Linked DNA regions of Mus musculus: all the other regions are reported to be linked to region 6. Evidence: microRNA targets listed by miRTarBase, many of them from high-throughput screens and not tested one by one. Region 6 holds a microRNA gene; each other region holds the end of a gene's coding sequence. Distances are from middle to middle.

Region 1 (5,076 bases), not on the chromosome of region 6:
GCTAGTACCATCACCACTGTCACCGGACCAAGTGCTTTCAGCATTCCTCTCCCTATCCGGCAGAAGCTATGCAGCAGCCTGGATGCCCCTCAAACAAGAGGCCATGACTGGAGGATGCTGGCCCATAAACTCAACCTGGACAGGTGAGTGTGTCCAGGCTTCTAGACCTACTGTTTTCATTTAGCAGAGATTCCAGGACTGAAAGGAATGATATAGAAAGTGGCACTTTTCTCTTCCCACTACACATCTGTTTATATTTTCATTCTGACTGTGAGCTTCCAAACAATTCCAAGAGAATTCCTGGGATATATGACATTTATCAGTGTCAAGATTTGTGATAGACTTTACCTAGCTCATGTGCTAAGAGCTCCTAAATATGATGTCTATTCACTAAAGTAATTATTGTTCATCCATCGCCAGTTGAACAAGACGTAATGCATGATGAATAATTTACATGCTCACACAAGCACTTGTATTAAGTTATAAAGAGACCCTGAGAGCCTCTGCTTCGTAGAAAATATCTGTCACCTCCAAGGAAGAGATGTGGTATGACCTGTCAAAGATCATCAGAGTCCAGACTGGACAGAAAACATAAGCCTCTTGATTTCCTGTTTAGGACAAAACCCACAGACACGTTGTCTCTTAAATTATCCTATTCAGAGTTGAGGTTAACAAAGTTAAACAGCACATGTCCTGTCTGGAGCTGATCTAATTAGGAACCGAGCAATCATTAAGTGGAGTTCACTAGGATCCACGGTAGGACTGAAATGCTTCAAGACAGACAGGTTTAGTGCCAACGCAGAGAAGATAATACTGTAAATAGACCTGTAAATCACACCTCTAAGCATATTTTCCCATTCTTGATTGCAGGTACTTGAATTACTTTGCCACCAAATCGAGCCCAACTGGCGTAATCCTGGATCTTTGGGAAGCACAGAACTTCCCAGATGGAAACCTGAGCATGCTGGCAGCCGTCCTGGAAGAAATGGGAAGACATGAGACAGTGGTGTCCTTGGCAGCAGAAGGACAGTATTGACCACACTGGAACTAAAGCTGAAGGACACAATTACACAGGGAGTCTGTGTTCAGGGGAACCACATCTGAGGAGGAAATCCAGATAGGACCAAGGCGCTCTACAGGCAAGATGGCAACAGGAAACTTGGGGGACAGATATAACCACCAAGGTACACGCCCACTTCATTCGGACAGCACCACCGCGGGAGTTAAGAAAAATTGTGTAAATTTGTACCTTGAATTTAAGAATCAATCTAATTTTCTCTTCGTTGGGCTGTATGCTGTATGGTACAGGATCTTACAGTTTCCTAGGAAACGCTTTTTATTGCTATCCAGATGTATGGATAAACTTTCTTAACAAACCCAGTTTCTACAAATGTTGTTTACATCAAATTGGACAGGGATGCAGACACTGTCCATGGCTCGTTCTATTTTTGTTCAGATCATTTGAAGTTGAAGCTGTGGACAGTTTATTGTGTCTATTTCAGATTAGTAATTTACAGAGAAATCACAGACTTTTGCTAAAAATCATGTACATCAAGTGTCTCAGATAATCTTCCCATCAGTGTTCTGTTTCTGAAACTTGTTGGACCAGTATTGGCATTGGTATCAGGGAAGTGGAGAATCTAAATGTAAAGGAGAAATTGAGAAAATTCCTTATATCCTGGGGTAACCCCGTTGGTATCCTTTGGGAACAGAGCTCTAGCATTACAGGGGAGGTAGCTATTCATGTTCCTCCACACAAACATTTCTGTACCACATGTGTGTTTGTAATAAGCAATTTCAAGTGTTTTTTAAAAAATATTATCATTATTATTGATGATTATTACAAATATTCTAGTAAAAAGAATTTCCTTTTGTTTTAGTTAGCAATACTGTTAGTGTTTGGTGTTGACTAGACCTGCCTCCCTTTCTTGCCTAAAGAGGTGGGCATGGTCACCAGTTTAGTTCAATAGCTTTTGCTTCCTTGACCTTTGGTCTACCATTCTGTGGTGGAAAAGACAGAAATGCTCAATGGCTATGTCTGCTCTTTCAGCTTGCTCGGTCAGAGTCTTTCTGTTCTTGCTCTTATCATGAGGAGAGTTCTCTATGTAAAGTTCATTTACTCTTGTGGCTATCTGGGAGGCAGTATGGTTGTGGGAACAGTGTCTGAACTAGGAATCAGGAAACCAGTTATCCTTGTGGAGTTGGTCCCTGTATGGCTGTGTGACTTTGGGGAAAACATTGAAACTCACTGGCGCTCATTGCCCTTCTTTGTAAACTTTGTGGTGAGACCAGATCATCTCAAGGTTCCAGAATGCTGATCTCCCATTCAAATGTCATCATCCTTTTCTATCTTGCAGGCAGGATTGATTTGAACAGGGATTACTTCAACACACATTTGTTTGTCTTTATCTTTGTGTCATTATTGCATGATGTTGTTCGCTTAGAGATGGCATCCTTTTCTTACCATTGTCTTGACCTCTGCTGGGGCCCTAATGTCCAGCCTTCCAACTAACTGTAAATTCTACTTTACTCATTTATTGATCTCCAGATCTCAAGACCATTTCTACAAAAAGCCCATGCAGCTGAATGAATTGGTAACATTTTTCTTTCTTTATTACTCTTTGCTTTAGTAATATTCAGTTGTATTTATGTAGATTAGTGCTATAGGACCATCCTATAAAACGTTAGTTGTGCATACTCCTTGGGACCATCCTGGGTTTTGTTTGTTTGTTAGTTTGTTTTTATTTTTTGATATAGGAACTCCATTCAGCAGATAGTGAATGAAAACTTAGCAGCCCCACTGACATAGTTAAATAGAAAGCACCTATGCCCTTAAGTCAGAAACTTCAAAATATGGCTGTGGTGTACTTTGGGGCTAGAAGTATTCAGGTTGCTGAATGGATTCCATTGGGAATCATTTTGCCTAATACCCTCTGATTCTGTTACTTCCTGATACACGCTAACTCTTCTATCCTAGTCATTAAAGAACTGTGGGTACAGTTGTGGAGCCTCTTCCTTCATGCTGTTTGTCTTCTCTTTCAGAGATGTATTCTACAGTCTCTTTCTCTAACCATATTCATATATAAAAATCCTGGTCCCACTGACTGTGGAAGGGAAATTCTATACTCCTAACGAAGTTTGTTGGCTGATATCTGTAAGCATGAGTTTGTTCGAACTTTTAAGAGTTTGATTGATGTTCTTAAAAAGTAAGAGGAAGAAAGACTTTGCTGCCTCTTGAAACAAGTGTGAAGGTTCCTCTACACTTCTTGGATTTTGGAACCATCAAAGAAATCCAAACTGAGAGGTCTGGACTGGATGTTCTGTGTAACTTCAATGCTTTGTGCTAAGTCAAGAGGAACAAATATGTTGCTATTCTGGTTAATTTATCCTAAAAACTGTTAAGTCACCAACACAGAAATACTGAATATAACCAAAGCAACATTATTGAATATTTTGAGAGTCCTCGTGTTCAAGCATCTAGAGATACTTGCTTTTGTATTCAGACTCTCACAACAGGAAAAGGAAAAATGACTGATCTCTTATGAAGGAATCATATGTCATAAAACCACTTTCTATCATGTGAATGACAGTTTCCAAACTAGAACATACCATACATCAAATAATTTTCACTAAGCAGTCTGCTCTTTCTCCTTGGGAAGAAAATGATAGTTGTTAGATTGCTGCTTTCCAACACACACGTTTCACCTGCCACAGTTCATCTTAGAGGGAGCTTCATCATCACCCCTGTGGCATGTCTGACTTCTACAGAGCTTCTCAGGAATGCCTTGCTTGCTGTGGGTGGGTAGAAAAACAAATTATTTGTGCCTGGTGCCATCTAGTGGCCTGCCACATAGTTACTCAATGTCATATACAGCTTACAAAAAATTAACAAAGAGAGTTAAGTACCTGTGGAGTTCGACATTTGTGACAAATAGACATGGTGAAATTTACCTACATGTGTAATTCTCTTATTCTCGTATTCTTCAGTTAAATTATCCATTTTACAACTTTCTGGGTATAGCACGTCATCAACTTACTCATACACATCTTAAGTTACTTTCTTGTGATAGACATGTATGGAATCTGTATTTTTAAAAGTCTCTGAAAATTGTCATTGGGCTTTGCATATTTGAAATCTTTTAACTCCCAAACACTGACTTTTAGAAATATAAACTGTATTCACAAAGAAGAAAGATTCCCTGCCCAACAGCTCCACACACATGGCATCACCTTGGGCATATATATTCTTGCTAGGTATCCCAGAACATCATCAAATCCATGACCCTATTTCCACAGCCTCTCAAGTGGTGAGAGTTTAACTATGTACCACTATACCTGTTCAAACCTGCTCTACATTTGTAAATGAGAATCCTGTCTCTATGGACATGGAAGTTGTGGCTGTTAATCAAGACGAATGATCTTCAGATGAAGTAGACCTGAGATTAGGAATCTAAAACTTCATGTTCTCTTCTTATTGACATTAATTCAAATTGGCTTGAGTCTAAGCATGTGTCAAGAAAGTCACAGCCAAACATTTTCAAAGCAGACACATTGTCTCTGCTACACAAAGAATTCCATCCTGACCTGAGCAAATTAATCTCTTCTGGGAAAGGATAATTTGGGGAATAAGAGGTCCAAGATCAAAGTATATCATTAGCTATTTTCATATATTCTATGATTCTAAAGATTTTAATTATTCCACTATCAAAGAGTAGAGACATCCTTTAGGGGAAAGTTGCAATGACTATATTTAGGATCCTCTAGGAAATAGGTATTAAAACTAGGTTTTAAGGACATTTCTCCTAAAAATGATTGAAAGGGAAACACTCAGAGGGTAGGATTTAGACAGTTCACATCTGGAAGAGAGTAGATGGTTGCCTACATCTCTGTGTGTCTCTGATGAGGACCTGGCACCTATGATCCTGGGTCATTCACACACACCTACATAGCCATAGGACAAAGAGAGCTTATAGGGAGAATGTTCTATCCCACAATCCATACACATCCCTACAGTCTGCGCTCTGGAGCTAATCAATGTAGAAGGATGTTAGATAATATGAGAGAAAAAGTAAGAAA
Region 2 (5,076 bases), not on the chromosome of region 6:
CAGCTGGCCCCGTAGCCTGCTGGTCAACAGGAGTCGCTCCCTGCCCGAGAACATCGTAGAACCTCCCATGTCTGGCAAGGCGGACCGCTGCTGTGGCCTGAACACCCACAGGCGCCTGGGAGATGGGGAAGCCTCCCAGCCTCCACTTCCTGAGTCTCCTCCCCAAAGCCAGCTGAATGGAGGCGACGCCCTGTATGTCACCGCAGACCTTACCCTGGAGAACAACCAGCGAGTGATCATTATGGAGAAGGGGCCCCATCCTAGCTCCACCGTGGGGCTGGAGGAAGACAGTGGGAAGGAATCAAGTTCCCCAGTGGCTTTGAAGGGACAGGGCCAAGGTTTCCAGGCGTCTGCAGAGTACCAGCCCAAAGAACACGGTCCCAGGGACTCAGCAGACACAAACAAACAGGGTAGAGTGAGAAACCTGAGGGAGAAGTTCCAGGCCTTGAACTCTGTGGGTTGATTGACTCCTAAAGGAGAGAACAGCCACGTGGAGGTTGGAAGGACCTGGCATGCTCCCCCCACACCCACACCCCCCTAGGCCTGGCTCATTAAGGCTGATCCTCCACTCTTCTGGAAGAGTGGTTTGGAGTGGAGTGTGAACTCACCTGTTACCTGTGCTGGCCCCTCCCCTCCCCTCCCCTGGGAGGTCCCAGGATGACTGACTTTCCTTAGGTCCAGATGAGCTACTTACCTTCTCTGTAAATACTTCTCTGATAAGAAGCCAACTGTTTTATCCTGCCCAGGGAGGGCGAGCACTGCCCTGGCTTTCCTTACTGGCTGGCCACTGCCTGGCTGAGAACCCAAGGGAGAGACCTAGGAAGCAGCCCGGGCAGGCTTTGCCCTTTAACTGCCTTGTCATAGGACCCAGGCAGGAATGAGGCCAATAATTTATTGCTTTATATCCTGTGGTGTGTGTGTGGGTGTGTGTGTGTGTGTGTGTGTGTGTGTGTGTGTGTGTGTGTGTGTCTTGTAAAGAATGTAATGGACTTAGTTCAGGTACTCTCGAAGGTTGTCTTGCTGGCCCTGTGGTGGTTGCCAATGGACACACATTTCATTCTTTACCTATGGTATAATAACCACTGCTGACCAACCAACCTGTGTGTGGCCTCCTTCCTGGGGACATGGATGCTCACTCAAATGTCCGGGCACAGCAGACAAGATAACAAGGGTGCTCACGGGTCAGGTGGGGTACAGAGTGTGAGGTGGGATCTTGATTCCTCCCATGTTTGCCTCTGTGCATTGCTTTGTCCACCCAAAGCGTCATGTTCTGTCTCGGGTGAGATTCCCACATGGGAGCCTTGAGCTCTTTTCCCAAAGACAAAGTTGGGAAAAGCTGGAACCGACAGGGCGAGCAGAACCCTTCAGATAAACGGGGTTTTCTAGGGTCCAGTGACTTTTACTCATCTCTCCCTCTCAGGTCCCCAGGAGTGGGTGAGGGTCCTAAGGTTGAGGCTTAGCAATGTCCTAAAGTGGTCTGCAGCGTTGTGGAGTGTAAGTGTATTTTATTGGAATGGTTCCTGTTCTCAACAGCACCCACAGAAGTGTCTGGTTGCAAAAGGCCAGGAATGCCCCATTTCTAAATGGGCTTTTTTTCTGCACAGAAGACCAGCTTTACTTTGGTTTCTGTCTAGGGTCAGAAAAGAGGGCCTTGGTGACAGACCAGTCCTTCTAGTGTACCTGCAAGTCTGCAGGGAGTAAAACCTGGGCATCTTTCAATCTAAGAGGATGGATTGGATTGGATCTGAACATAGGATGACCATCAACCCCCACCCCACCCTGATATCGGGTGAGTGGTGGTCTCCTGGGCAGGAACAGAGCAGGCCTGCAGTAGCCCATGCCCTCTCGGTCCTCTGCAACCACTGTCAGTCACTGAGAAGACAGCTACTGTTTTTGAGCAGGCCAGTCCCAGGATATGACACCTGATAACGGCCATAAAAGCATTGGATGGGTGACTCTAAGTCTTGTCCCAGCCTTGCTACCAGCTGGGTCACCCAACTATGTACTTTCCTCATCTACAGATTGAAGGCTGGATGAATCACTGTTTCTCAAACTCAATGACAGCATCCAGGGGTGGAGCCTGGGCAGTTGTGGCTAATGTCTTTTGGGTGATCCTTACAGTCCAAGTGTAGGTGTGTCTAGGAACCTTGGACAGGGACAGTTGCATTCACAGGCTCCTATTAGAATTACCTGAAGACCCTCTGAAACCTGGCAGTCCCATGTCTCACCCAGGCCAAATAAAACTGCCCCTCTGAAAATGGATCCCAGGACAGATAGGAGATCAGGTCCCTGCTCCTGGTAGTTAACAGCCTGAACAGTAGATTGCTTAGAGACAACTTTGGCCTCGAGTTGATTGAACTCATGAAACGAACAAGCTTCCTCAGGGTCCCAGATGGGATCTAGTGCCTGGATACCAGCAGTCATCCCATAATACTCTGAGGAACAAAGTAAAACCCTAGCTGTCTCTCTGTTTCCATGGTATCTTCCCTCTGATGTCCAGTTCAAAGGAACAAGAGGCTGGTCAAATAAACAGAGACAAACACAGAGTATTATTGATTTATTAGAAAAACTAGTAAATGGGGTTCTTCTGGTTGGTGGAAGCACATTTGAGCAGGTGGAGGACAAGGCCCAGCCAGCCCCAGGACCAGCCCCAGATGGCATGATCTGTGCCCAACAGGGTTCCATCTCTCTACCTTCACTTCACTTTCTGTGTCCTCCCTGAGCTTGTCCAAGAGACCAAGCCACGTGGCCTGCTGTTCTCTTCCTCCTCTGAATCTGCCTCCTCTTGGTGACAGAGGAAGGAGATCCAGGACCCGCCTAGGGGACCTGTTGCCCTCCAGTAGTCAGGAAGGAGAATGTGGAGGAGGGGAGGGAGCCGAGCCTACACAGACTTCTGTTAGTACCAGGAGAGGTGGGGTGGGAGGGTCCCAGGACCCTCTGCTCCTCCTCAGCCTGTCTGCCCAGGCCCAGGACAAAGGCAACGGGAGGGAAGGAGAGCTGCCTGGCTGTGCCCAGAGAGCTTCCTCCAACCGCCCTGGGGAGGAAGCCTGTGATGCTGGTGTGGACTGGAGCAGTGTTAACCCAGTTTGAGAATACTGTCGGGGAAGACTGCAAAGTAGAAAATACCAGGAGAAAAGTCAGCCTTGCCAGGGCACCATGAGAGCCCATCCCTGGAGTTCACAGGGTTCCCACAAAGTCAGTCCAGTGTGTCGAGTGCCTTGGGGCCTGGGTGACATGAGTGCAAGTGTGGGGAGCTGGCTGTGATGGGAGGTCCAATGCAGCTTACTGCCCTTGTATATCCTTTGCGGTGAAATCCTAGCTCTTCCATTGGAGCCTTTTCTTTCCTGGCTCTGTGGAGTTACCGGGAAATTCTCACTTCAGGCGCTACTTGAGTACACGTGGAAGGGAAATGTAGACCCTCATCCCTTGGCCCCCCAGACTAAGCCAGGGGAGCTGCCTGAGGGCGCTGCTTGCCACCTAATGCTTCATCGAGGAGCCCACTTCCTCTCCCAGAAGATAGACGTGCCTTTCAGTGTACCAAGGCCATTTTTATTGTCAGGGTGCAGATGCCTCCCTGCCTACTGCTTTGGTTTCTCCAGCTGTACAAAGAGGCTGGTGAATGGTGCCCTCTATGTTCCCTGTAGGAGAGAGTTATAGGGTCCTATACGCTGAAACCAAGTTACAGACTGGCTGTGGAGATGAAGAAATCAGGCCCCACTGGCTAAGGTGGTCGTAGTCTACTGGAGTTGAGTTCATACTCAGATCATGTTGGGGGCTACAGGGTGCAACTGATCTCTGAGCTATACCTGCCTGGTCAACAATGAGGAATTCTGGGAAGGCCTAGTAACCGTATGCCTACCATTGAGCCTTACCCATGGGGAAGGCAGTAGAATCTGGCTGTGGGCCCTAGGGACACAGATGATCTAGGCGAAAAGGCCCCTTGCCCTCACCTCGACCATCTTTTGGACCTAACTCCAGCTGTCATGTTGGGCTGGAGCTGTGTTGCTTTTAGTTGTGAAGCAGAGCATGCCTGTAGGACCCGTGGTCCTAGTCTCCCATAGGCATGGAAAAGCACTCCCCAGGGACAGGCTGCAGAGCCCCTTTTAATGCTTGAAGAGGGGTAGTGGTTGTTTGGTGATCTCTATACCATGTGACCCCAAAATCTAAGACTAGGTCTGCAGAAACCAACCAAGAGGAGCCACACCTTTCTAATAGCCTCAACATTCATCCCTGTGTTCCAGGGGTTATTGTGTCACAAGCCTGCATTTGTCACCCTTAGGTAATAAACAGCTCTGTGTCCAGCCACTGGCCTGGTTGGTGCCAGCTGCAGGGCTGGCGGAGGGGGAGGGGGACATGTAGCTTTGAGATACTTGACTGCAGGGCATGGGTATTCAGCTTGTATCTGGCACCAGCCCTGACCACGTACTGCTGGTTTGGCTGCAGCTGGGAATGGGAGAAAGAGCCGCAATATAGGCAGAGCCTTAAGCAGTGTTGGGACCTGTCTGTCCCTCCTGTGGCAGAGGTCTGAACCCTAAGCTATACTAGGGTTTCCAAGAGAGCAGTGTGAGGAATTCTGTTGATGCCAGGAGGATCAAAGGGAGAAAGAGGCTCACTCACTGGGGACTCACCCAAACTCTTAAGGGTATGAGAAGAGAAAAGAAGGGACATACTAGCCCTGAGGAGAGAATCCTATCTCTGAAGGAGCCCACGGGGAGGAGAATGGCAGTACTCAAAGCTTGACATCCATATAGTCCCCTTGGTACTCCACTAGCCCCTTACCTGATTCTGAAGGCCCTTCCTCCTGCCCCTAAGGAACAGGGCAACCATTGTCAATATTACTTTTCCTTTCCCTAGCTGACTATGGTCAGTGATCCCAAAGGGGATTTGCTGTGGTGGTAGTGGGCAGTGCTGGAGGAAGGCCATCAGACATCCCAGCTTGTAGGCAGGAAGAGGAGAGTATATGCCGTACAGAACCGTTTCCAGCCCCAAAGGAGCTGGACCTCCAGTCCCTGGAGCCCAGCCAGCTGCTTGGGGTAGGGGAAGTGGAGGGCTGTTGGCAGGCATTAGGGAGGCCAG
Region 3 (5,076 bases), 160 Mb from region 6:
CTTCTCCTGAGAGGCCAGGACACCTCCCCAAGGTTAGCCTGTGTCTCAGGCCAGGGCAGTGACGTCACTGGGCGTGCTTGGTTCAGGCACAGGGTGGGTCAGAGACGCCAAGTAACAGAATGGGATGGGTCTCTGTCGGCCACCTTCTCCGCAAGGAGGAAACCTGCCTGAGAGAAAAGCTAAGTGGGTACAAAGGAGGAAGCAGGGAGGGGCCCTGCCTAGGTTGTCGTCAACAGTCACTAATGATTGTGTGCCTGTCTGTGGCATCCATGTTTGTGTGCGACAGCGTGCATGTACATAATGCAAACTTATATGTAGAGGTTTGAGGTTAACATTGAATATCTTCTCCATTGCTCCGCACCTTATTTATTGTTAGGAATTCATGCTGGGTGTGGTGGTGCACACCTTTCGTTCCAGCACAGAACAAGTTCCAGGTTAGCCAAGGTGCCACAGGAAAACCCTGTCTTGAAAAACCAAAACCAACCAACCAAGAAAAGCACTTGTGTTTGTGGTTAGAGGACAACTCGGAAGGAGTTGGTTCTCTCCATTATGTGGGTTCTGGGGACTGAATCCATATTGTTAAGAATTGGCAGCAAGCCCCTCTACTCACCAAACCATCTTGCTGGCCCTCCATCTTATTTTTCTGAGACAAGGTCCCCTACTGAATCAGGAACTGATCCCATTAAAGTTACGGGTCAGCCAGTCCCAGCCAGGGCTGTACAGCACCTGGCTCTAACTCAAGTCCTCCTGCTTGTGTGACAAGCTCCTTACTGAATGAGCCCTCAGGGCCCTCTTTACGTTTTGGTTCTGAGGGCCAAACCTATAAGCTCATGCATATTAGGCTAGCTTCCCACCACTGACACCCCAGCTCTGTGTACTTCCGTCATGGAACAGAAGTTGTCTAGACTGACCTTGACTCCTCCTGCCTCAGACTCCCCAGTAGCTGTGCTACCCGGTCGTCTGGCAACCATTATTGTTTTAAATCAGTAACATGGTGGCGGAAGTCCTCTCTTGGGTGAACTGTCTACATTTTTTTTCCCTTTTTTTGAGACAGGGTCTCTCTGCCCGTTTCTCAGCAAGACTCAGTTATTCAGTTCCACAGGCCAGGAAATCTTACTGGTCCAATCCACCGAGAGCCTCCTGGTGCAGGCCTGTGACCATCACTGTGCTCACACAGGGTCTGATTCAGTTCCGGGCCAGGGGAAATAATCACCAAGGGTAGAAAGGTATCCACGGAAGCTGGCATCTTCATACCAGCCTCTAGCAAGATGGCGTGGTGCTAAAAGCGCCTGCTGTTTAGACTGGATTCCCAGAACCCTGGTGGATGGAGGAAACTTAATTCTTGAGAGCTGTCCTTTGACCTCTAGGCACTTGCTGCGGCCCGCCCACCTGGACCCACAAAATAAAGGATACATACACCCAGGACCTGACCCCAAATCAGAACAATGCCAAGTTCGAGGTTAACCTGAGCTACATAGTGAGCTCTCAAAAAAAAAAAAAAACCACCCAAGAGTCGGTGTGTGGTGGCACGTGACTTTAATCCCAGCACTCAGGAAGCAGAGGCAGGTGAGTTCAAGGCCAGCCTGGTCACCTATCAAGTTTCAAAACCAGAACACAAACATGAGGCAAGGCTGTTGGCACGTGCCTGTACTGCCAATACCCGGGAGGGGAGGCAGGAAAAGCTGGCTTCATGAGTTCAAGGTTAGCCTGAGGCTACAGATGACTTTTTAAAATAACTGCCCTCAGATAAAAAACAAAACAAAACAAAAACAAACACCCCCCCACCCCCACACACACACAAACTGAAGTCAAATAACAAAAATCCCAAAGAGAAAAGCAATCACTCTTTGACATCTGGGCACAGGCCTGGGAAAAACCAGTACACTGCAGGCAGGGGCAGAGTCTCAGGCTAACCTAGGCTACATGAGGAGACCCTCCCTGACCCAGTGGGAGAACCAGGTTCTACAAGTTGTCCCAACACCTACATGTACACAAATATACTTCTGTGTGCACACACAAAATACCTTATCTTAACATATGTTCTCAGTGTGTAGCCTAGGCTGGCCTGGGACTCACAGAGATCTGACTGCCTCTGCCTCTCAAGTTCTGGACATCAAAGGCATGCCACTGCACCTGACCTAAAACTAAAAACCAAAACAAAACAACTAGGGAATGGCCACATGGCCTGCGTCTGTCATTCCAGCTCCGAGAGACCGAGTGCCCCGAGCTGGGGTTCAGCCTGGACAGGTGGGGGATGTGGGGACCGAGGCCTGGGGCTCAGCATAGCCCTGGAAAAGGGTCAAGGAATCAGTGGTGACTCAGTTTCACTCCCTATGCAGTAACTAAGGATGCTTGGCAAACATCCTTACATCCTCTCTTCATGTAATTTCAAACAAGAAAGTAGCCTTTATACAAGTCCGTTTTTATTTGTAAAAAATAATATGTAACTAAAGCTAACTTGATTCTTAAAATCAAAGTTCATTTAGTGATAATGTACATTTTATAATAAAATTGTAGTAAAATACTGACATTTAATAGTTTAAACAAAGTATCATTCATGTAAAAATCATGTTATAGCATGTATGTTATAGCATGTAAAATTTAATTAGAAAATTCATGGTTCACAACAGCACAGCATCTGGTTGACATGGCGGACTTAGGACAGAACAGAATTCACAGTGAGGCTCGACGTTCGGGACAACAGAACTGCACGCTAAGCTGCCGACGCTTACGCTCCTGTTCCGAGGTGTCTCAAGAACTGAGCCGACGGGACGGGACGGGACGGGACGGGACCTCCACAGCCAAGACTCACTGGCCTCACAGAAGGTCTACTGACATTGACTTCATTGGTACGACCTCATCACTAACAAACACTATTGTCCTTGAAATTAAAATCAGCGTCAGCAGCTCTGATCTCCGTTTTCAGACAGAAGAGAAATCTGTTTTTCAGTTAAAATTTGTACAAAAGTCAAGCCCTGAAGTATTTCTTCCCCCAAGAGAAAGGTTCTATGTTAAAACTCTGTTAAAAAAAGAGAGAGAAAGAGAGAAGAGAGAGGTAGTATGTGAAATATCTTTACTTACAATGCTGAGCCCATGCACCCCTAAGTTACATATGCAACTGAGCCTTCTGTGCCTATGGCTGCCTTCCACTGCAGGGAGCGCAGTGTCAGAGGGGGAGCGAGGGGGAGCACTGCTAGCAAGCGGTGGGTGCCGTGTGAGAGGAGAAACTCAGTGAATTCAACAGTCACAGGCTCACTGCACCCAGCCTCCGCCAGGCGCCTGCAGATAACTCGCTCAGTCAGTGCCCTTCATTGGATCAAGACTTCATTTCTGCCGGCTCTTACTACGAGGAAAAAGTCCTTCAACTCGGAGTCAGTACACACCTATGAGGCACCCACACTCGGCCACCACAAGGTTAAGAAATAAATAACTGTCCCCCTCAGAGCCTTGGGCCTCAGGGAAGTCTGAGCCACACACGTGGGTCTCGCTGACTGTGCATGCAACAGGAGGGAGCCAGGTAAGGGAAGACAACTGCGGTCCCCTCATCCCAAATGGACGCACAGAAGAGAATAAATAGACTCAAATAATCACCAGCCCTGCGAGTGGTGTACTTGACACGGGTTTCCCCAAATGTGGGCAGCACCCTAGAATCCCCAGGAAGAAAACTCCGTCTTTTGAATAAAAAGTGCACATCTATATCGTGTGTAAGTCTCTTAACCTGGGGGCATTTTTATCCCATGATCCACACTGTCTGGTACACTGAAGAGTGTGGGAGTCAACTAACTATGCTATCACCTACCCACAAACACACACACACACACACACATACACCACACATACACACACACACACACACATGCGCACACGTGCACAGCACACACTGAAATAATCTCCACTGGACTGGAATGAAGGACTATGGCACCCCGAAACTGTAAAGTTCCAGGGTGACGACAACAGGTGTCGCTCCAGGGCCAGGGGAAAGGCCCCTAGACATGGCCAGCTAAAGTTTTAGAAAATGGGAAGACAGAACAAAAACTGCACATGAAAAAATAATTTGTCACAGTTAACAGAGGAACACTTTAAAAGTCAGAAAACAGGGTCTGGGAATCGAAGAACCGAGGTCCCCAGTGGCTAGCAGATGATCAGACTTCACAGAGGGCAAGGAGCGGGCTCTGCAGGCAGGTGGACACCGGCCACCGCAGCTCGGCTCAGGCAGGTCTCAGTTTCAGAGCAGCAGCACCTGCTCCGTGTCACGGCAGCCTGCCTCGGCAGACTCCCAGCCCAGCCCGGCCACACTTGTTGTGGAACATCAGGGCCTGCAGGTCCACAGTGTCAGTCATGTGTGCACACCAACATTGTTCCTTACACCCTCAAACAGAAAACAACCTGGTGGTTCACAATGTTATGATTGTCCCATCTTCCTCTAAGAGTTTCTGGTCCGGAGCCCGGCTTTCCAGCTCTGTGTCCAGGCTGCCGGGCACAGGCACCAGGCTCGTGTCCTGAGGAGGGGAGAACCCGTTCTGTCCGGACTCAAAGCTGAGCTCGATCTGCGTCAGGGACTCCAGGCTCTGGGCGGGGGTGGCCTTCGGGATCTGCTGCGGCTCGCCACTGTCTTCAATGATGATGTCGTCCTCGTCGCTGTCCTGGTCCTCGGGCTCGAAGCTGGCCTCCACCTGCTGTGGGAAGCCCAGGAGGCTGTTGTCAGTGGACTGGCTGGAGCTGCCAGAAGTCCGACTGTTGCGCACCACGTTGTTCCTCTGGTTGGCCGGGCGCACGGTGATGATGAGGTTGCGGCTGTTGGCTATCATCATGTCAGTCACCTGGTCCAGGCTCTTCCCGGACACTTCTATACCGTTGACTTCTAACACCTCATCGTTGACAGCTAGCAGGCCCGTGCTCTGGGCCAGACCCCCAGGGACGAGCCGAGATATGAAGATGCCGGGGACTTTCTCCAAGCCGTGCGGTGTCACTCGGACGCTGGAGCCATCCCGGATGTAGAAGCCCAGCGGCTTCTCTGTGCCGTACTTGTACAGACGGACCCTCCGGTGCGTCTCTGGGAGGATGTCCACGTCGATG
Region 4 (5,076 bases), not on the chromosome of region 6:
GTTCCTGGGCGCCTGTCTGGAGTCGGTGGAGCGCTCCGGGCCCGCGCGCCTGAGCCCGGCGGCTGGCTACTGGGTGATGGGGCTGTGGAACCGCTGCGAGTACTTCGTGCTGGACCCGCATCGCGTGGCACTGGCGCTACGCGTGCCTCCCCGGAGGATAGGCGTCCTGTTGGACTACGAGGCCGGGAAGCTGTCTTTCTTCAACGTGTCTGATGGCTCGCACATCTTCAGCTTCACCGACACTTTCTCAGGGGCGCTCCGCGCCTACTTAAGGCCCCGAGCTCACGACGGCAGTGAACATCCGGATCCTATGACCATCTGCTCTTTGCCGGTTAGAGGGCCACAGGTCCTCGAAGAGAACGACAACGACAACTGGCTACAGCCCTATGAGCCTCTGGACCCCGCCTGGGCTGTTAATGAGGCAGTGTCCTGACCTCAAGGCCAGGTCCAAGCACTGTCCTGAACTCCTGGACAGCGCTTTGCTCTCCTGCAGCCAAAGCAGAGTCAGCAGAAAGAGGACAGAGAGAGAGGGCCTATACAGATGAATGTATATAATTATCTTTAAACAGACAAATGAAAGATTGTTTGTGTATATAGCAGGATTCTGGAGTGTGCAGTGTAGAAGATGGGAAAGAATCATAATTATCCGCTAATGTGTGTATAGTTCTGTATAGTGTATATGTGTGTGTGTGTGTGTGTGTGTGTGTGTGTGTAATTTTGTGGATCCTGCAAAAGTCTAGAAGTAATGTCATTTCATAAGCAATGAGTTCACCTTTGGCTCAGAATACAGTTTATAGCGACTTCCTTGATCATGTATGTGGCAATTCGAACATGAAATTCAATAATGGCAGTGATGTGGCTGGCTGGGGGTAAGCAGTGGTAGAGTGCTTGCCTAGCCCGAGGGATAGCACACATCTTCAACTTCACTGCCGATTTCCCCAGAAAAGTGCATTGGATCCCCCGCTCAGGTGGAGCAGGATAAGGATGGCAGGAATGCAGCGATACTCCTAAAACATAAACATACATATAAGTAACATTTACAAACAGAAAAGGCTATATTTAGCAAAATATAAGTATATACATATACTCATCTAATATCATTAATTTTAAAAGCCATGATTTTGAAAGAGAGCTAGAAGTGAGGCATAGGAGAATTTGAGGGAAGGAAAAGGAAAGGAGAAATTATGGAATTTTGTTACAATCTCTTAAAATTAAAAATTAAGATAATGTAGTATTAGGCAATAACTAAAACCCAAATGTATAAGCCCATGCTAACACTTTATTTTTCCTCTGTTTGCAAAGGAAGTCTTAGAAATAATTAAGTGAAACCTTTCTAAAAGAGAATGGGGAGGGTGGAATGGAAAAGCTATTAGCTTTGCATCAAGGAAATAATCAGTATAGACCAAAAAACAAAAAACAAGCAAGCAAACAAAAAACTGATGGCTGATAAGCCCACCAGGCAGTCTATTGAAAAGCAAGATGGCACCAATCTTATGTAGCAATCTTACATATTTCTTAAAATAGTGGAAATATAAACACAACTGAGAAAAAAGTGTATGAAATGATTCCTAATGATACCTGTAGACTGGAGCCTAGCATCATCATTATCAGAGAGGCTTCATCCAGCAATTGATAGGAGCAGACACAGAGACCCACAGCTAAACTTTAGGAGAAGCACAGTAAATCTCCTGAAAGGGAGGAGGAAGGTTTATAGAAGCCAGAAGGGTCAAGGACAAGGACACTGTATGAACAAAGCCCACAGAATCAAATAAGCTGGGCTCATAGGGGTTCACAGAGACTGAAGGGAGGATCAGGAAGACTACATGGATCTGACCGAGGTCCTCTGCCTATATTTTACAGTTGAGTAGCTTGGTGTTCTTGTGATGCTCCTAACAATAGGTGCAGTGGCTGCTGCTGGTTCTTTTTCCTGCTTTTGGGGCCCTTTTCCTCCTACTGGGTTGCCTTGCCCAGCCTTGATATGAAGAGATGTGCCTAGTCTCACGGCATCTTATTTTGCCATGTTTGGTTGATATCCTTGGGAGGTCTGCTCTTTTCTGAAATAAAAGAGGAGTGGATCTGGAGGAGAGGGGAGATAAGTGGGGGCTGGGAGAAGAGGAGAGAAGGAATCACAGTCAGGATGTTATATATGAGAGAAGAATAAACAACAAAAACAAATACAATTGTTTTAAGTAGGGGAAAGGACTTCAGACTCTTTCCTCAGCTTACTAGCATCCTCACATTCTTGGGAGAGCTTTTTCCTTTCTTAAAAGGCGCTCTCTCTCTCTCTCTCTCTCTCTCTCTCTCTCTCTCTCTCTCTCTCTCTCTCTCTCTCCTTTGAGACAAGGTTTCTATGTGTAGCCCTGGCTGTCCTGGAACTCACTCTGTAGACCAGGATGACCTTGAACTCAGAAATCCTCCTGCCTCTGCCTCCAAAGTGCTGTGATTAAAGGTGTGCGCCACCTATTTCTACTCCATATCTAATGTAAAAGTCATGGTGTTTTCTTCATCTTTTCCTTTTGCATGCCAGAGTTTTCATCTCCTTTGTACCAGTTTGCTGTAAACTCTGATAAAATTGTCCTTGAGCTTCCTTTAGAAAAATAAAGGAAAAGGGAAATGGGGATAGTACTATTGCAATGATAATTTGCAGGATGAGCCATGTAATGACATTTACATTTTCAAGGATGAGATAAGACATTAGGTCAAAGAAAAATGAATGGGAGCCCCCAAATATGAAAATACTTATGTGAGTGTTGATTTTTAGTTAGTGCCATAGTGATGCAGGGAAATATTGTTCTTCAAAAATAAGTGTTGAGAGCTTTAGAGATGCTTGAGGTAAACACAATGACTATTTTACTCTCAGGTGCTCCCCCAAACCCCAGAAAGCAAAGGTGGTGATTGATAGCGTCTCTGGTTAACTCATCTGCAGGGACTTGACATACCTTGAGGTAGGCTTCAAGTGTGTCAGATTCAAAGAGCTGAAGTGGAAATGTCTGGTTTCTTCGGAGACTCAGTTGTGTCATGTAATGCTTTTCTGGAAACTGTCTTATCAGAGGATGTTTTTGCTGAAGCAGACACGTAGAAGATGTTTTGCTGAGAACAGATATGTGATGATTTTCTGGAAGCTGCCTGGAAAGGGGTATATGATGTTTTGCTAGAGCAGATGCTTGAGAGAACATGTGATGTTTGGAGAAGGTATAAATACATCCCAACAGTGAACAACACTGTGTGGTATTGGTTCGCCTTGCTACTCCTTGCTGGTCTTTGTCATGACTTCACAGAGAGAAACACACCAAAGAACTTCTGGTGGTGTTCTTGCAGCTTCTTGGCACTTCTGCAGACTCCAGCAGATTGACAGAGCCTTGAGGTTTCTCCTGGATCAACCTGCCACTGCTGATTCGTGAATGGTGTTTGCAAGTGGATCGAGATACTGCTGCTGATTTGTGTGAACTGAACTGCTGTTATTCTGACAACACAGATCGGATTCCCTCCAAAGAACAATTTCTAAACAGGTCCACACCCTCCTTTGCCCTATTAACCTTCTTTCCCACTACCTCTGGTGGGTGGTAGGCTAGAAGGGAGGTTAAAGCATTTAAGTACACTTATTAAAGTAGGTTTTGAAAAATATAAGCATACAAAGAGTGTGTTGGGAAAAAAAACCTAACAAACCAAAAGAGAACAGACCCAAAAGTTCAATGCTAGTCTCTGGAGGGGAAATGTTTGGTGACTGTTAATATTCTAAGTGCCTCTTTGTAGTATTAAATGGTCAGAGGTATGATTAGATTCGTTCTGTAGGGAGGGGAAAGGTGCCTTGTTGGTGTTAGTGAGCCAGGCTCTTACTATGCAGCCTAGAGGTTAGAAGCCACCTGTTTGTTACTATACAAAATAAACGTATTCATACTATCCAATGTTATGATGCCATAAATTTTTATGGTGCGACTGTTTTGGAGGCCCATGTGTGTGTGTGTGTGTGTGCGTGCACGTGCGCATGTACATGTGAAGGCTTTGGGTACCTCCCTCTATCATTCTCTTACCTTTATGTTTTGAGACAGGGTCTCTCAAGGAGCCTAGAGTTTTTAAAATTAAATATAAAATAGGCTGGTTTCCCTTAACAGACCTCAGCAAAGCCCTACTACCTCCTCTTGCCTCTCTCTCCCATGGGGATTTCAAATGAAGACTAGCAACTGTCATACATCTCCCTTCCTTGAAATTAGTGTTACCACAGACACACTTGGGAGGTGGAGTCCCAAGCTGATCATGAGAGAGACTCTGCCTCCTCTTCAGGCTCCTTAATTTCTAACAAGATGCTAGCATTAGGATCAAAATCTGGAAAGATGATGATTGGCACAATCTTGAGAATGTGTTTACAGGTTTATATTTATAGTTGTAAACCACAATGAGGGGGTTACAAATTACTTATTAATTGGGACTTAGGATTGTGTGGCATCAGCTGTTTTGTAAGAAGGGGCCAGGTGCCTTCTCAGTCTCTGGGTGAGTTAGAGGAAGGAATCAATGTACTGCTGAAGTTGGCTGTATTCCATAGGTTTACTCACCTTGGTGTCGAGATGTCTACAGCTTACTGTGTAGGTTCGGCTGTGTGAGTAATTACCGTCCAATTAACAAAGGCTTTTCCCCCTTGGTTGGAAGTGTAGCTCAGTGACAGAACACTTGTTCAGCATGTAGGAGGCTCTGGGTTTGATGTTTAGCATCACATTAAGAAACAAACAAATAAAACACATAGCCCTTCATTCCATCATAAACCTAAGCTAATGGCACTCTATCCTGACTCTCTCCTCTAACAATAAGGTAGAAAATTCTTATTATTTAAACTTCAAAATGTATGCAGAACCTGTTCACTGCTGGTCATGTTCCTTTCTACCAACATCCGAATTCCATAACCTCCCATTCAATCAGTGCACGAACTAAATGGACCTATTAAAACAGATCAGCTGGGTATGCTGGTACGTGTTGAGGTTGGTCTTGTGTGCTATGTATTCAGGTGCTGAGATCAGGTTGTAATCTAGAGATGGGCATTGTATTGACTAATGTGCAGTAAAGAATGCTTCCCCAATAATCTCT
Region 5 (5,076 bases), not on the chromosome of region 6:
AATCTGTCTTATGTGGTTGATATTTTTAATTGTTATGTCGTTTGTTTTCACTGCTAGTTCTTCCAGAAGATTTTTGGGGGAGGGCACATGGAAAATAAGAGGAGTGAAGCCATAGATCAGAGTGGATGGCTTTGCTACTGGTAATAATGACAGTCGCTGCATTTTGGTGATAATTTGAATTGTAATTTCTTCTAGAAGTTCTACAGTTTGTTTCCAAAATATCTTTGGTGCAAGTGTTATTGCCTTTTTTCAAATAGATAAACTGTTGAAAAGAGTTTTTTTTTTTTCTAACACCACTCAAAGTGTATAAAATAGCCTTGATCGAGACCCAGGTTTCATCAATGCCAAAGTTAGTATTTATTCCATGGCGTCTGGCTAACTTCATAACTGGCCCCTTCCCTCTCCAGACCTTTAGCCTCACACTTAGAGGGTCCCTAGAAGATCTCTTAGATACCTCCAAATTTAGATTCTATGATTTTATGGGATTTTTTTTCATTGTCAATTTAAAGAATTGCATCACTTCAAATTTATATCACCACTAATGATATTGTTTGTTTGTGTTTGTTTTGGGACAAGGTCTCACTATGTGAGTCCTGGATGACCTTGAACTCCTGCCTCCTGAGTCCTGGGCTGGTTTATGCAGTGCTAGGAATGGAACCTAGTGCTTTGTCCATGCGAGGTATTATTTTTTTCTTAATGCCACTAGGAGATTTTCCTCTGAACTTATTTGAAAAAAAAAAAGGGAAAAATAAATGAAAGGAATATAGCAACTTTTCTATATTTGAAGCTGAACAAAATAAAAATTAATCTGTGGGGTTGGAGAGATGGCTTGGTGGCTAAGAGCAGGTACTGCTGTTATAGGGGACCCGAGTTTGTTCCCAGCACCCAAGTCAGGTGGTTCATGACCCGTTATACCTCCAGCTCCAGAGAAATCCAATCCTTCTTCTAGACTCTACTGGAACCCATGCTCACACGCCCATCCATACCCAGACACATGCATATGTTCATAGATAAAAAGTAATAAAAGATAAATCTTAAAGTTGGGGCTGGAGAGATGGCTCAGTGGTGAAGTCCATGTATTGCTCTTGAAGAGGACAGGGTGGTTCAATTTCCAGCACCCAAATGGCGGCTTATAACCACATCAGTAACTCCAGGTCCAGGGTCGTACATTCTCTTTTGACCTGCAAAGGTACCAGGCAGGCAAATGATGGACATACACACATGCAAGCAAAGTGCTCAGGCACATAAAATAAAAATAAATAGAAAAATTTTAAATAGATAAATTTATAAATAAACAAATAAATCTAGGCTATCAAGATGGCTCAGTGGGTAGTGACACTTGCTTCTAAACACGATGACCTGAATCTGTACTCGGAACCCACATGGTGGAAAGAGACTCCTGAAACTTGTCCTCTGACACTACACACACACCATGGCACATGTGGTCTTACACCCCCCACACACACACACACACACTACAAGTTATAAAGTGAAATAACAATTAAAAAAGAATCTGATCATGTGCTGGGTCTGTAGTCCATGATCTGCTGTATACCAGAACTGAAGAGGCAGAGGTTGTATCGTGAGACTAAATATTAAATATTGAACCACCTAACTAAAAGCACCTTTCCAAATCTACAAGGCAAAGCCTATTCTTCAGCTTATTAATTATTTTTGCATATAAAACATGTGTTATTCATACAACTTTGTTTACATAAAACAATTAAGTTGCTGATGTGCCACAGACTGAGTGAGCAGTGTCCCTTATTCACAGGACAATTTGTCTCATACTTTTATTTATGGGCCTCTAGATGTCAACTATTTTTTAATGACACATGAAAGAACTTTACACAGAATAAACATCGCCATTTGTATATCTTTTTTTTTTCTGAATTTTATTTTGCTAAAAAGAATCCACACGGACCAAAAAGAAAGAAAAGGAAAATAAAGGAAAAGAAAACCATGCAAAATAGTTTTACACACACCTCTAACACACTATATTCCAACTTCAGAAAACTTACCAAAAAGAAAGGAAGAAGACCCCAAAGCAAGAATGCTAGGGTTGAAAGTTCACATTACAAAGGCTAGATTGCTAACACAAACACTGCCAATACAAGCCATTCTACTCAGAAGGTGAGTGTTTATCAGTATATTAGATTAATGCCAAGAATAAGAAAACAAGACACACTGTATTCCTCCTATGCACTAGTAAAGATGTGATGGTAACCTATCGACATTCAGCCTTAATCTTAACACTATGCATGCTCACCCTGTGGACCATTCTTGAAACTGGCTTCTTCTCTGCTACCTTTATATTGGTTTTTGGCAGTGCTGGGGACCAAAGCTAGAGAATCCTAAATTCTAGGACAATTCTGTACCACTGAATTACACCCAGCCTCTAAATGTTGTTTTGTATTTAAAAAATAAGAGTCACTTAAAAATACATGTAAGCTATTAAATATTTGTTTTAAATTACTTAACATAGGAGAATGGTGATGCTTTCCTTTAGGATATTTTGATTATCTTCTTAAGGATCCTACAACAAAGGATAATGATTACACAGGAGCAGTGTCTGGGATCATGTATAAAACCTTTAAAAAGACATTTTGGAAATGTAATGGCAGGGGTTTTTATTTCCCTTCCTCAAGATCAGTTCCCAATCATTTAATAGATTAAAAAAAAAATCAACTGCTTAGAAGCCTTCTGTTTAGTCAGCAAGCTCCTTGTCCCTGAATATCTGAAATTTCCAAAAATAACAGACTACACAAGGTACTGTTCTGCATGTCTGGACAAACCTCTGAGCTGTCCCAGCAGAATGCACTCAGCCAGGAGCTTTGCATAAAAAGTAAAGAAGAGCTGTTTGGAGGAGCATAGTTCTGACCTTCCCTGGTGCTGCCTGGGCGGAATTGGTGATTCCAAACTAACTATGGACTTCCTACTACACAATGTCTAACTAATTCAGAGTCTTCCAGGGAGGAGAGACCGGTAAGTAGGAGGATGCTCTCTTGGAAGTCTTAGTTCTCAAAAGAAGAAAAGTGTGAATGCATACCTATAAAACATTTCAACCGTGCAAAGTGGAAAATCCAAAACAGGTTGGAGGAGAGAAGGGCAGTGGTTGGTACAGTGCCTACATACTGTGCTCCAGTGAGAAACACACACATACACACACACACATACACACAACCTGCTTCAATACCATTTTCAATGAACATCCTTCCTAACAGCACTTCCTAGAAAGGAAGGTGATTGCACCATCTCGAAACCCAAAAGGGAAGCCACTTTCTTTACTTCTAAATAGCTTTACCAAGCTCACCTAATTCCATGTATATGTAAAAGAGTCACCTGTATTGTTATAGAGTCTGAAGGCCAGGTCTATTTCAATAAATATTCTAAAGCCAGTCAACTATTTTCAAATATTGGCCCAAATGGCAAATGCAGCTTTTCCTCCTTGCAGCAGTCAGCATGAGTATATACTTCCTGTGCTGCACTTAAAGGAACAGGTTAAGGGGATGGTGCAGCTCTGGAGATGGGAGGTCCTGCAGCCCATGCATTCTTCCTGAGGTTAGCAGAGCATCCTCTCTCCATGAGCATGTGCGCAGGTGCTCCCGGGAGCCCGTTCTAGCATCCTGTTTGATGCTGTCTCTCTTTTTCCCACTGAGCCTATTTGAGGGTGGGGCTGAGGAAGATGTTCGTGAGCTGTTGCGGGTAGGGGGTGAAATACGTGCACAGAACACTCCCTCTCAGAACCCTCTTAAAGCAAAACAAAGGCTAAAACCCCACCCAGAGTCCTTTTCAAACCTCTTCTCATACATTGTAAAGCAAAACTGGAGAAACCCAATTTCACTTTCCCTTAACAATTCATAAAGGAGCAAAGCCTTCCAGGGACTTTAGATATTTCAGAGGGAAAGAGGGGGAGATGCAGAGAAAGCTCATCTTTTCTCCCCTGTCCGTGGCGTGAGCGAAAGACCTCCCCGGAGCCTTTTCACTTGCCCAGTGGTGGCCCGCCATTGCCTCAGACGCCTGGGCTCCCCTTATATGTTTCAAGTTTGTTCAACATCTGAAGTCTGATGTGCAGAGGTAACTCTGTGATGCTAATGGAACAACTCTTCCTTTTTTGGTGAGGAAAGCCCAATGGGTCTTAGCTAAGGAGCTCTCAGTGCCGGCTCTAAAAATATCCGCACAGCAAACACTGCTTGGCACATCGTTGTGCTTGCCAAGGATCGCTCCAGAGCTCCGCTGCACACTTTAGATCCTCCATAACTGCCCAGGGCTCTGTCCCCACACTGGCAACAGACATGGCTAGGGAGTCTTTGATTTTTTAACATTGTTTTTTTGTTTGTTTTTCACTGTTGATTTCTTGGAGTCATTTCCCCAAAACCTGAAGTCCAATTCCAGCCGTGGATTAATTACTAGCTGGGTTTAGAATCTTCTTTTGGCTTCTAGTCTGAACTACAATAATACACAATCTGTGTATACAAGAAAAGACTAAAGTTAGACTTCAAAAGGGCTCAACCATTTTCTCTCGTTCCCCTTCCCTCCCAGAAGAAACAACATCAGCTTCTTTGACTCCTTCGTCATCAGTAGCAGGAGCAGCCTGGGCTTGGCACACCAGCCACTCTGGGCTCCTACACGTTGATGGCATGTGCGTGCTTCTTGCACAGTGGTTTGTCTTTCTTAGAGTAGAATGGCTGACCCTCCAGATTCACGTGGCAGACCTGGGAGGGAAGACAGAGTCACCTTTTAGTCAGATGCACTGTGGCACCTAAACAGGAGAAGCAGCCTGGTTTTTTATCCCCTCTGCTACAAAGTCTAATGACTGGACCAACTGTGTAGGTTGAACCATATAACATGAACATGAAGATGTCCAGGGGGTTGAGGATGTAGCCAGTTGCATGGCCATCATGCATAAAGTCCTGGCTTTGATTCCCAGAGCCACGTAAACTAGGTTTGCTGGGTATGCCTCTAATCCTATGCTGGTGAGGTGTTAGGAGAAGGGCATCTGAGCTACCAAGATTCTGTCTATAAACACATAAATAATTATCAAAATAAAAGACTTTTAAAAAGCATGGACTGAAA
Region 6 (5,071 bases):
ATGTGCATGTGTGTATATGAATATACATACACATACACACACACATACACACACATGCAACACACACATATGAATGACACTCACTGATCACTTTTAATGATATGTGACTTATAGTTTTAGAGATTATACAGTACTGGGCCAGTGAATGGTCTCACTCAGAAGGTGAAAATGCTTGCCAGAATCAGGAGAATCAGGAATTCAAATTCATGCTCAACTTCCTGAGAATTTAGAGATTAGTCTGTGATTCATGTGATGCCCCCCATGTATGTGCCTGTGTGTATAGTTGTGTGTGCATGTGCATGTGTGTATATGAATATACATATACATACACACACACGTATAAACGCAAGCACAAACACACACAGAGGAATGGCACTCGTTGATCCATTTGAATGATATGTGACTTAGAGCTTTAGAGATTATGTAGTATTGGGCCACTGAAACTTTTCATTCACCAGGGAAGGCTTGCCAGAGCATCAGTATCCAGAGTTCAAAATCATGCTTAACTTCATAATGAGTTAAAGATCAGCCTGGGATTCATGGGCTGTACCCTATATATGGGCAGGTGTGTGTCTTGTGTGTGCATGTTCATTTGTGTATATGAATATGAATATACACACACTTACACACTCATGCACACACACACACATCCATTTGAATGATATGTGTCTTAGAGCTTGAGAGTTTAGGCAGGACAGTGCCAGGGAGAGATCTCACTCACCAGGTAACAATGTTTGCCATACTCAGGAGGATTAGGAGATGAAATTCATGCTTAATTTCATGATGAGTTAGACATCAGCCTAGAATTCATGGGATGTCCCCCATGAATGTATGTGCATGTGTATATAGTTTTGTGTGCATGTGCATGTGTGTCTATTAATGTACATATACATACACACAAACATATACACGCATGCGCAGATACAGACACAGAAATGGCTTTCATCGATCCATTTGTATAATATGTAAATTTACTGGGCCAGTGAGACATCTCACTCACCAGGCAAAAACATTTCTCACAGTCAGGAGAATCAGGAGTTCAAATTCATAATAACTTCATGATGAGTTAGAGATCAGCCTTGTGTTAATGTGATGACCCCTATGTATGTGCATGTGTGTATATTTATGTGTGCATGAAAATGTATGTATATATGAATATACATATACATACATACCCACACAAACATGCACACACACACAAACACACCCACAATTGCCACTTACCAATCCATGTGAATGATATGCAACCTAGAGGTTAGAGATTGAGTATTCCTTTGCCCAAAAGAGCTCTCTCTCTCTCACCAGGTGAAAATGCTTGCAGAGTAAGGAAGAACAGCAGTAAAAATTTATGCTTAATTTCATGATGAGTTAGAGATCAGCCCGGGATTTGTGTGTTGCTTGCTCTATATGTGTGTATACTTGTGTGTGCATGTATATGTGTGTATATGAATATACATATACATACACACCCATATACACACGCATGCATGCACACACACAAATACATATACACAGGAATGGCACTCATCGATCCATTTGAATGATATGTGACTTAGAGTCTTATAGATTATGCAGTAGTGTGTCAATGAACGGTCTCACTCACCAGGTGAAAATGGTTGACAGAGTCAGGAGGATCAGGAGTTCAAATTCATGATTAACTTCAGTTAGAGATCATCCTGGCATTCATGTGATGCCACCCATGTATGTGAATGTGTGTTTACGTGTGTGTGCATGTGCATGTGTGTATATGAATATATGTATACATACACACACACATACACACTCATGTAACACACACACACACACACACACGAATGGCACTCATTTATCCATTTGAATGATATGTGACGTAGAACTATAGAGATTATGTAGTACTGGGCCAGTGAGTGCTCTCACTTTCTAGTTGAAAATGCTTGCCAGAATCAGGAGAATCAGGAGTTCAAATTCATGCTTACATTCATGAGGATTTAGAGATCAAACTGTGAATCATGTTTTGCCCCCCATGTTTGTGCATGTGCGTATAGTTGTGTGTGCATGTATATGTGTGTATATGAATATACATATACATACACACCCATATATACACGCATTCATATGAACACATCAACACACACGCAGGAATGGTATTCATCGATTTATTTTATTGATATGTGATTTAGAGCTTTAGAAATTATGTAGTACTGGGCCAATGAAACTTTTTACTCACCAGATATAAACGATTGGTATAGTCAGAAAGATCTGGAGTTCAAATTCATGCTTAACTTCATAATGAGTTAGAGATCAGCCTGGTATTCCTGGGATGTACCCCGTGTATGTGCATGGGTGTATAGTTTTGTGTGCATTTGCCTGTTTGTATATGAATATACATATCCATACATACAATCATATACAGGCACACAAAGACACACAGACATGAATGGCACTCAGTGATTCATTTGAATGATATGTCACCTCAAGTTTTGGAGGTTATGCAGTACTTGGCCTGAGAGGGGTCTCAGTCAGCAGGTGATAATGTTTACCAGAGTCAGTAGGCCCAGGGCCTGGCAAACGCAGAAGTGGATGCTCACAGTCAGCTATTGGATGGATCACAGAGCCCACATTGGAGGAGCTAGAGAAAGTACCCAAGGAGCTGAGGGGATCTGCAACCCTATAGGTGGAACAACAATATGAACTAACCAGTACGCCCCGGAGCTTGTATCTCTAGCTGCATATGTATCAGAAGATGGCCTAGTCGGCCATCAGTGGAAAGAGAGGCCCATTGGTCGTGCAAACTTTATATGCCTCAGTACAGGGGAACGCCAGGTCCAAGAAGTGGGAGTGGGTGGGTAGGGGAGTTGGGGGGGGAAGGGTATGGGGGACTTTTGGGATAACACTGGAAATGTAAATGAAGAAAATACCTAATAATAAAAGAGTTCAATTTTATCCTTAACTTCACGATGAGTTAGAGAGGAGCCTGAGATTTTTGTGATGATCCCGTGATGTATGTGTGTATATTAATATACATATACATAAACTCATACATACACATACATGTGACACCCACATATGAATGGCACTCATCGATCCATTGGAATTATTTGTGACTTAGAGCTTTAGAGATTATGTAGTACTTGGCCACTGAAAGTTTTGATTCACCAGGTAAAAACCCTTGCCAGAGTCATCAGTATCTGGAGTTCAAATTCATGTTTAACTTCATGAAGAATTTGGGATCAGCCTGGATTCATGTGATGTCTCCCCTTGAATGTGCATATGTGTATACATAAGTGTGTTCATGTGTATATGTGTATATGAATATACATATACATACACACAAACATACATGCATGCATGGACACACACACACATGAATGGCACTCATTGATCCATTTGTATGATATATAATTTAGAGCTTTAAATATTATGTAGTACTGGGTCAGTAATAGTCTCACTCATAAGGTAAAAACACTTGCCAGAGTCAGGTGAAGAGAGAGTTCAAATACAAAATTTACTTCATGAAGAGATAGAAATCAGACTGGGATGTTTCTTATGTATGTGCATGTGTGCATATATGTATGTGTGCATGTTAATATATGCATATAAATATACACATATAAACTAACCAACACAACATGCACACACACAGAGACACACACAAATACACACACACACACACAAACTCAAAATTGATACTCATCTATCCATTTGAATGATATGTAACTTAATGTTTTAGAGCTATGTATAAATGGGTCAAGGAGAAGTCTCACTCACTAGGTGAAACACTTGCCAGAGTCAGGAGGATCAGGAGTTCAAATTCATGCTTAATTTCACAACGATTTAGAGATCAGTATGCAATTGATGTGATGCACACCAAGAATGTGCATGTGTTAGAGTTGTGTGCATATTCACTTCTCTATATGAATATGCATATACACACATGCACACACAGTAATGCCACTCATATATCCTTTGAAATGATATGTGCCATAGAGCTTTAGCGCTTATGCGGTAGTGATCCAGAGCTATGTCTCAGTTAGGAGGTGAAACGCTTGCCAGAGTCTGGAGGATCTGGAGTTCAAATTCATGTTTAACTTCATGATGAGTTAGAGTTCATCATGCGATTCATGTGATGCCCAACAAGAATGTGCATGTGTGTATAGCTGTGTGCATATTCACTTCTCTATATGAATATGCACATACACGCAAGCACACACAGGAATGGCACTCATATATCCTTTTGAATGGTATGTGACTTAGAACTTTAGAGCTTATGCAGTACTGATCAAGAGCTATGTCTCAGTTAGGAGGTTAAGTACTCTTGCCAGAGTCAGGAGGATGAGGAGTTCAAATTCATATTAAATTCATGATGAGGTAGCAATCAGTCTGGGATTCATGTGATGTCCCCCGTTTATGTGCATGTGTGCAGAAGTGTATGCATGTACATGTGTTTATGTGAATATACATATACATACACACATATACACACACATGCAAACATACATGTAGGAATGGTACTCATCGATGCATTTTAATGATATGTGACTTAGACCTTTGGAGATTATGTATGACAGGGCCAGTGTCAATTCTCACACACCTGGTGAAAACCCTTGTTAGAGTCAGGAGGTATAGGAGTTGAAAATCATGCTTAACTTCATGAGGAGTAAGAGATCATCCTGGATTCATGTGATGCCCCCTATATATGTGCATGTGTGTATACTTGTGTGTGCATGTATATGTGTCTATATGAATATACATATACATACACACCCATATACACACGCATGCACGGAAACACAAAAACATAAACATAAACACAGGAATGGCACTCATTGATCCATTTGAATGATATGTGACTTAGAGTCTTATAGATTATGCAGTAGTGTGTCAATGAACGGTCTCACTCACCAGGTGAAAGTTGTTGACAGAGTCAGGAGGATCAGGAGTTCATATTCATGCTCAATTTCAGTTAGTGATCATCCAGACATTCATGTTATGCCCCTCATGTATGTGCATGTGTGTTTACGTGTGTGTGCATGTGCATGTGTGTATATGAATATATGTATACATACACACACACATACACACGCACGCAACA

What was found. The annotated mature microRNA mmu-miR-466f-3p reads CAUACACACACACAUACACAC and lies in region 6 at 1,763-1,783, shown strand. An mRNA with a match to its seed (bases 2 to 7 or 8) in the 3' UTR can be bound and repressed. Matches are read on the target gene's strand: a 7mer-m8 pairs with bases 2 to 8, a 7mer-A1 pairs with bases 2 to 7 and ends in A, and an 8mer does both.
Region 1: miRTarBase lists Unc5c as a target of mmu-miR-466f-3p. The part of its 3' UTR that is shown has no 7-base or 8-base seed match.
Region 2: miRTarBase lists Plekhg3 as a target of mmu-miR-466f-3p. The part of its 3' UTR that is shown has no 7-base or 8-base seed match.
Region 3: miRTarBase lists Pard6b as a target of mmu-miR-466f-3p. Seed matches in the 3' UTR shown: 7mer-m8 at 3,837-3,843.
Region 4: the mRNA of Btnl9 is a reported target of mmu-miR-466f-3p. Seed matches in the 3' UTR shown: 8mer at 587-594, 8mer at 656-663 and 7mer-A1 at 674-680.
Region 5: miRTarBase lists Ldb3 as a target of mmu-miR-466f-3p. Seed matches in the 3' UTR shown: 7mer-m8 at 4,458-4,464, 7mer-m8 at 3,174-3,180 and 7mer-m8 at 3,160-3,166.

Annotation. Positions count from the first base shown.
Region 1 is chr3:141,827,537-141,832,612 of GRCm38, forward strand. It overlaps Unc5c (unc-5 netrin receptor C), which reads left to right. Exons shown (of 16, transcript NM_009472.4): 15 at 1-143; 16 at 871-5,076. The coding sequence ends at 1,036. Among named protein-coding and RNA genes, the nearest start is that of Gm15689, 150 kb to the left of the region's middle.
Region 2 is chr12:76,577,946-76,583,021 of GRCm38, forward strand. Plekhg3 (pleckstrin homology domain containing, family G (with RhoGef domain) member 3) reads left to right here. Exons shown (of 19, transcript NM_153804.4): 19 at 1-1,094. The coding sequence ends at 463. Sptb (spectrin beta, erythrocytic) reads right to left here. Exons shown (of 36, transcript NM_013675.3): 36 at 2,543-5,076. Among named protein-coding and RNA genes, the nearest start is that of AI463170, 33 kb to the left of the region's middle.
Region 3 is chr2:168,098,529-168,103,604 of GRCm38, reverse strand. It overlaps Pard6b (par-6 family cell polarity regulator beta), which reads right to left. Exons shown (of 3, transcript NM_021409.2): 3 at 2,402-5,076. The coding sequence ends at 4,395. Among named protein-coding and RNA genes, the nearest start is that of Pard6b, 20 kb to the right of the region's middle.
Region 4 is chr11:49,164,411-49,169,486 of GRCm38, reverse strand. It overlaps Btnl9 (butyrophilin-like 9), which reads left to right. Exons shown (of 10, transcript NM_172793.2): 10 at 1-1,162. The coding sequence ends at 433. Among named protein-coding and RNA genes, the nearest start is that of Olfr1394, 6.9 kb to the right of the region's middle.
Region 5 is chr14:34,524,835-34,529,910 of GRCm38, forward strand. Ldb3 (LIM domain binding 3) reads right to left here. Exons shown (of 15, transcript NM_001039074.2): 15 at 1,865-4,715. The coding sequence ends at 4,626. Among named protein-coding and RNA genes, the nearest start is that of 9230112D13Rik, 4.6 kb to the left of the region's middle.
Region 6 is chr2:10,466,967-10,472,037 of GRCm38, forward strand. Mir466f-2 (microRNA 466f-2) reads left to right here and starts at 1,709; the gene lies at 1,709-1,802. All of the region lies in intron 10 of Sfmbt2 (Scm-like with four mbt domains 2), which reads left to right. It overlaps Mir466f-1 (microRNA 466f-1), which reads left to right; the gene lies at 1-71. It overlaps Mir669f (microRNA 669f), which reads left to right and starts at 263; the gene lies at 263-383. It also overlaps Mir669e, Mir669b, Mir669d, Mir669l, Mir669d-2 and Mir466f-3.